Linked DNA regions of Drosophila melanogaster. The protein of the gene in region 1 interacts with the protein of each later gene in a pairwise test. Each region holds a gene or a part of one and is shown in the gene's direction. Other genes may lie near its edges.

Region 1 (3,936 bases):
ATCTGAAATTAATATTTGTGTAAATTCCAGGCGCAATTAACACGCAAATGGCACAGCTTTCACTTATTTTTTAGCATAAGTATTCGGTATTGCCCAAGCAAAAAACAAAGCAAAATGAAAACCAACAAAAAAGGCACAAAAAATACAACAAAGAGCGGAAGCTTAAGTAAGACATTAAGATTCCTGGGCCCAGCCAACTGCACTGACATCAAAACACCGATTGCCAAATTGGCAGCTCATTAAATACCAAAGCAGCCCAAGTACTCCCCCCTGCTCAGCCCTTATAATTTTCTTGGGCTTGTCTAAATTTGGCTCACAATACATTTCCGCTATTCGAAAAATTTTTAATAAAATCAAGTTGCACACTGCAAACACGGTTAATTAATTCAAGTAACATGAGTATTGTTTTAAAAAAAGTTTACCTGCTTTAAGTTCAAGGAAAAATATAATTGGGATGGGAAAGAAGATCATTAAAGGGCCTATTTCCTTTTATTCCTTTATACTCGGTATTCTTGTTTATAATTATACTTACAATTTGAAAATTAGGTGGCACTTTAAATATCAAATAATGACTTATTACTAAAACTAATTTAGGGTTTCTATTGGAAGAAATTAAGCCAATTGGTGTTCACCAGGATATCCTTTTAAGCTCAAATACATATAACAAAAAATTGAGAATTGGTAATTTTCATCTGCAACTACTTTAAAACTACAGCCAGGAAATTATCAATGTTCCGATTGTTTCTCCGATTTACAACATTTACCTTGATCTATTGCAATATCGAACGTTTTAGAAATATATTCACCTAGATCTGAACGTTCAAGAGCATTATTATGTGAATGGGATCTTTCTTTTTCCCATAATTTTAATAATAATAATAATAATTCATCGCGTTATTTGTTGGTACATCAAAACTGCACTGTGAGAGCACTAACATTTAGCACAAATGACTTAAATCTAGAAACTGTGCATAAAAAGGTTAGTAATATTTTTTTAATTGCTTACCGCAGTCCCATTTACGGAGTCTCATGAAACTCTCCGCAGACCATAATGTTTTTTCATTAAGATGCAATTAACTTCAAGGTTCAGTTATTTGCAAATCAATTACAGAAAATCGGTGGTTAACGGCTATTCCATTTTGTGATTTTGGTTACCGATCTATTTTCACTCTATTTAAATCTTCCATACAATTTATTTCGTAATAACGCAGAAGTCATACAGCAGTTTTGATTTAATTTTTGATGCCCTACATCACAGGAGATCCATTAAACAATTAACTTCAAACATATCTCAGCATTCATTCAATTCATTCATTCATTCAATTCTATGCAAATGTTCTTACAATTGGAAGGTAAATATTAATACATATTAAAGAACGAATCAAAGCGACTCGATTCACAATGGAGAATGAAATGAAATGGTATTTCTTCAGCTTCCGTGGTCAGCAAGTGCATTTGACTGCCCCCCGTGGGTACAAACGAGTATCCAATCTGCTGGGTGAGTGGTATTTTAATTGGGTTTCCAGGCACGCACCTCGGATTGCTGGGCACTTGATTTTACGAGCGGATCCCCGGCCGTCGATGCAGAAGAAGCCATCAAATAACTTTCAATTATGTGCGGCCCATTATGGCGCGTATTATGCGGGAAATCGTCGCAATGAGGAATTCCTACTCCTCCCACAAAGAGAACAGCGTGCCCATAAAACGTTCGCCTGACCCAATAGACTAGAGTATCGAAATAGAATCAGAGGCCAGAAGCACAGCTAGGGCCATACCTGCACAAAGGTGAAACTCAGGTGGTCAACTTGCGCTTTCCATGACTTTGACAACAAAGCGAAATGGTCGCTAAAGCTGGAGCCCAAAGCGGTGGGCAGAAAAAGAGCTCCGTGCGTACCTGGCATACGCAATTCAATTAGCAAAGTACCGTCGTATAAAAACCAAGCGGTTCCCATGCGACATTTGCATAACCCGCTGAGTGGCCAACGCGTGCGCACCACCAAACCACCTGACCACCGGACCATCGAACCAGAGTGAGAGTTGAGGACTAACCGTCGTCGAAAGGATGAAGAGCACCGCCGCTTGTCTGATAGTCGCCCTTGCGGCGCTGTCCACCGCCCACTCGGCGCCCACCGAAGGTCAGGTGGCGCCCCAGTCCGCCACGCAACTAGCCCTGGACATGTACCATGGCTGCCTTAAGGACCTCAGTGTTTCCTGCGTGCGTCCCAAGGCCCTGCAGTGGTTCAACTCTGCCCTCCGGCAGCCGGAGGTGCGCATCACCGAGCGCCTGTCGATTGTCCGTACCGCGGAGAAGGTCGAGTCCCGATCCATGAACCCGGAGGAGCGCCTCTTCGACGACATCGACAGCTATCTGGGCAGCCACTCGCTGAGGATCCAGGCTCCGGAGTACTTCCGCACCTCGGAAGCCCGCTCCCTGGTGCCCGACTTCCTCATGTCGAATCCGCTTACTCAGGGAGGATTAGTTCCCCTGGCAGCTGCTAACGAAGGTAAGAACTCAAGATCTAAGTCAGATAAAAAAGTAATGATGACGATCCAAAACGAGCTTACGTTTTTTCAAAATAACATTCAATTCGCAACACAGTGTCAGAAACAAGTGTTGATACTAATTATTGAAATGCCACTCTTGTGTTTAATAGAAATCGTTAAACTAATTTGAATATGACAAATGGCATTATCAAAAATTTCAAAAATGTTTAGGGTTTATGCAAATCAGCATACAAATATTTGGATTTTTACCACTTGTGATAAATCTAATCTGTATTTTTCCTACTTTTCCAGGACGTGGCATGATCCGCAAGGCAGTTCTGCCCTTCCTTCTGGGCCTGAAACTGAAGACCACTGTGCTGGTGCCACTGGCCTTGGGACTCATTGCCCTAAAGACCTGGAAGGCCATGACCTTGGGCCTGCTCTCATTGGTGCTGTCTGGAGCCTTGGTTATTTTCAAGATTGCCAAGCCCAAGATTGTCAACTACGAGGTGGTGCACTATCCCCATCACGTGGATCATGTGGTGCCGCATCACATTGAGCACGTGGTGCCCCACCACATCGAGCACGTGGTGCCCCACCACATCGAGCACATAGTGCCGCATCACATCGATCATCATCTGGAGCACCACATCGATCACCACGTGGATCTGCCCGTGGAGCACATCGAGCACCTGGAGCACCCATCGCCCGCCTGGGATCCTCATGCCTGGGCCCGATCCTCGCAAGAGCCGCAGGATGCCCAGGACTTGGCCTACGCGGGTCAGAAGTGAACATGGGTCTAGAGACCAAAACCCCCCTTACGAAATTCGGCCAAACTGTAACCTTATTTATTTCGTTCTAAGTTAAGTAGCTGAAACACACCGCTCTCGGCGTATTGTTTATTTATTTATTTATTGAGAAGTGTACAAAGCAAAGACCACAAAAAGAACCAAACCCCCAAGGCGTTTTAAAAAGGTACTAAGTGGGAATTAGCTCTGGTGTCCCTTTGTGTAAATATTACTGCAATAAAAACATGCAAAAACGATGTGCCTAATTGAAAACTTTTTTGGAAGTACCAACCCCTCAGCGAAGTGGCTAATTATCCCCAAAACTTTTCTAATGCGAGGAGTTTCACTTTGGGGGTCTGTTGAATTAACCCAGGAGATTCCGGCAAATGAAATGCCACAGAATAATGAGTGCAACTTCTGGCCAAAGTGCCTGATAAAAATGCCAATGAGCACTTTTAGAAAACTCTGCAGAGTAAGGGGAAGCCACAGAGGAATCCTTAATGAAATGCACACATTTTTATATGCCACGTGGAAAAAGATGCTTTGTCCTAGAAATACACTGCGAAAAGAAAGTGTTTCTTTCCTTATTATGTAGCTTTGAAACGTGTACTATGATCAAGATAAGGAATGGATTGCGTTTCCCCATCCTAACGATAGGCTGAAC
Region 2 (3,629 bases), on another chromosome or scaffold:
CCAATCCTTATTGGCCACCGCCTACATCGTGTGGGCGTGGTACGTCATTGCATCTGTGGGCATAACAATCAGCTATCAGACGGCCTTTTTGCTGAACAACCTTTCGGACATTATTATCACCACGGAAAATTGTTGCACCACCTTTATGGGTGTCCTGAACTTTGTCCGACTCATCCATCTTCGCCTCAATCAGAGGAAATTCCGCCAGCTTATTGAGAACTTTTCCTACGAAATTTGGATACCTAAGTGAGTCGATTCATTAGGGTTATTATAAGCGATGTTAAATGATCATCGCATTAAACTGCAGAGCATTGAAAACTATAGAGGTTTGCAATCTTACTTGAGTAAATGCGCAGAAAAGTGTGCTACATTGTTGTGTGCAAAAGAGCAAACTTTGCTTTCTAAGCATGCTTTTGGACACTTAAAGTGGTTTTGAGATAATATAGACTTTTGAGTAACTATACCCATCTTCAAACTGTATTTGTAAGAAAATCTTTATTTACATATATAAATATATGATGGGTTCCAGTTCTTCCAAAAACAATGTTGCCGCCGAGTGTCGCAGACGCATGGTTACCTTCAGCATAATGACATCCTTGCTAGCGTGCCTGATCATAATGTATTGTGTCCTGCCGCTGGTGGAGATCTTCTTTGGACCCGCCTTCGATGCACAGAACAAGCCGTTTCCCTACAAGATGATCTTTCCGTACGATGCCCAGAGCAGTTGGATCCGATATGTGATGACCTACATCTTCACCTCCTACGCGGGAATCTGTGTGGTCACCACCTTGTTTGCAGAGGACACCATTCTTGGCTTCTTCATAACCTACACTTGTGGCCAATTTCATTTGCTACACCAACGAATCGCAGGTTTATTTGCGGGTTCCAATGCGGAATTGGCCGAGAGCATTCAGCTGGAGCGACTCAAACGTATTGTGGAAAAACACAACAATATTATCAGGTTGGTATCGTGCCAATATTCAATTACAATGATTCTATTACAATGATCCTATTACAATGATTCTATTACAATGATTCTATTACAACGATTATATTACAAATATTCTATCACAACGATACTATTACAATGATTCTATTACAATGATTCTATTACAACGATACTGTTACAATGATTCTTTTACAACGATTCTATTACAATGATTCTATTACAATAATTCTATTACAACGATTTTATTACAATAATTCTATTACAACGATTTTATTACAATGATTCATTTCAATGATTCTTTTACAACGATTTTATTACAATGATTCTATTACAATGATTCATTACAATGATTCTATTACAACGATTCTATTACAATGATTCTATTACAACGATTTTATTACAATGATTCATTTCAATGATTCTATTACAACGATTTTATTACAATGATTTTATTACAATGATTTTATTACAACGATTCTATTACAACGATTCTATTACAATGATTCTATTACAACGACTCTATTACAATGATTCCATTACATGTTACTTTGATTTTGCCAATAGTTTTGCTAAGCGCCTCGAGGACTTTTTCAACCCAATTCTACTGGCCAATCTAATGATTTCCTCCGTACTTATTTGCATGGTTGGCTTTCAAATAGTTACTGTAAGCATTGGCAGTAAATATTTTAATATAATGACTAGCTTTTCTTTCTAAACTTCATAAGGGAAAAAATATGTTCATTGGAGACTATGTGAAGTTCATAATTTACATATCCTCGGCCCTTTCACAATTATACGTTCTTTGCGAGAATGGCGACGCATTGATAAAACAGGCAAGAATGTAGATTGTTTTTTTTTTTAATATATTAATAAACTATTTCCGATAAACAGTCTACCTTAACAGCGCAAATTCTGTATGAATGCCAGTGGGAAGGATCCGATCGCATTGAGATACAATCGTTCACGCCAACAACCAAGCGAATCCGAAACCAGATTTGGTTTATGATCCTCTGCAGTCAACAGCCTGTAAGGATTACGGCTTTCAAGTTCTCAACGTTGTCCTTGCAGAGTTTTACGGCCGTATGTCTACAAAAAAAAAATATATATATATATATATATATCAATTGCACAATTAAACTCATCTCTTTCAGATTCTAAGTACCTCGATAAGTTACTTTACATTATTGCGGTCAGTTTACTTCGACGACGAAAAGAAACTAGATTAAATAAAAACGTGGAGCTCTGTTTAAGGTTATGTTGCTTTCTGCTGATTTTCAAAATTCGAAACTTTGACAAATTTTGAAGCTGGGATTGGAGCTCCTAGAGGTTATCCCTCTCCTTGCACAGCCAGCGCTCCTAGTTGGCCATGATTTAATGCCCTAAATCTGGTTCGTTTTTCATTCGGTACCTTTCAGTCAGTACGGAACAAATATTCATACAATCTTTTCGAGATCTTTTATAAGTTTTGTAAATTCATTTGTACTAACTTACATCATTTCGCCATGCCTTCCGTCGAGTGGGTCTGTGGTTTGCTCTACTACGTTATGCGCACCTACATAAAGGTATTCGTATCCAGTTGCGAAGCACACTTCCCTATCGATATCCTTGACAAGGTGAGTGAGAAATGGATGGAGCAGCATGTGATGGACTCAATACACTATCCCAAACTTGCAGATTGTGTATTTGATAGATTTCGCCGAAGTTTCCATGAAGATAATGCGCCGGCCAAGAAATTACACGAATCCGACTGAGCGCCAAGCGAGACGCCTTCAATTCTACAATTTCCTTTTAAAGTTAAGATTTTTGGCACAGGTGATCTACACCTTGGTAGCCGTGGTAATTGGGACACTTAAAACATAAAAATTTATTTAATATGTTCCAAAAAATTCTATACATACTCATTGAAATATTTTTTTTTTTTTTTTTTTTTGACCATTCTAAGCTTTCTGTAATCCATGTAAAATAGCGTACAAAACGGGACAGGGCTGCGACCCGCGCTGATTGTTTGGACTGCGATGTGCTGTATTACTTGGCTGCCGTGGCTCCTTGAGGGACTGATCAACTATTTGTTTAAATGATGGACGCCATGGCGTTAGACATATATTTTTCAAAATTTTCCCTAACATGTAGCTATTCCTGAAATGTAGCAAATAAAGCACTGTTCTGCTTCGTACATTCTCAATTCTTCACGATGAAGGTGTGTGAACTTTTTGCGACGACTGTATACTCTCTTCAGCATTCTAACTCGATTTCGTGCATTTATTTTGCAAAAAATGCCAAAATTTGGCCAAAAATTAATTTCACAAAGCCTGTCAAAAAGTGATATGGGTTCTTAGTATTGGTAATTCGTATTAAAAAATAACTGTACTTCTTTTGGCCATTATAGCCATTTTTAGTCAAGTTATAACCAAAAAACCCATCTTAAATATTGCATTTTTTGCCAAAAATCAAAAATGGGCTAAAAATTTAAATTTTCAAAATTTATTAAAAAGAGATACAGAGCTGCACAAAAACTTAATTCAATTTGACTAAAAACTGCTAAAAACGATATACAATTTATTTGATTCTTAAGAATTCGCGACTATTCCCAAAAGTAGATTTAAAAGGCCAGGCAAATATTTTCTTATTTTTAATGAATTTCTCAGACAAACATAAGATCACAAATAGTAACTATTAATAT

Evidence for each region.
Region 2: the proteins of Osi18 (region 1) and CG42766 interact in a two-hybrid assay, tested with the Drosophila melanogaster proteins (one large-scale study listed by BioGRID).

The regions. Positions count from the first base shown.
Region 1 is NT_033777.3:6,328,289-6,332,224, forward strand, and holds Osi18 (osiris 18), read left to right. Parts: upstream 1-1,959; 5' UTR 1,960-2,062; coding exon 2,063-2,504; intron 2,505-2,796; coding exon 2,797-3,275; 3' UTR 3,276-3,521; downstream 3,522-3,936.
Region 2 is NC_004354.4:15,974,532-15,978,160, forward strand, and holds CG42766 (uncharacterized protein), read left to right. Parts: upstream 1-2,336; 5' UTR 2,337-2,451; coding exon 2,452-2,562; intron 2,563-2,623; coding exon 2,624-2,809; 3' UTR 2,810-2,891; coding exon of another isoform or gene 2,892-2,915; 3' UTR 2,916-3,129; downstream 3,130-3,629. Other genes in the region: Or13a (odorant receptor 13a), read left to right, coding at 1-246, 530-961, 1,514-1,613, 1,675-1,782, 1,841-2,029, 2,101-2,175.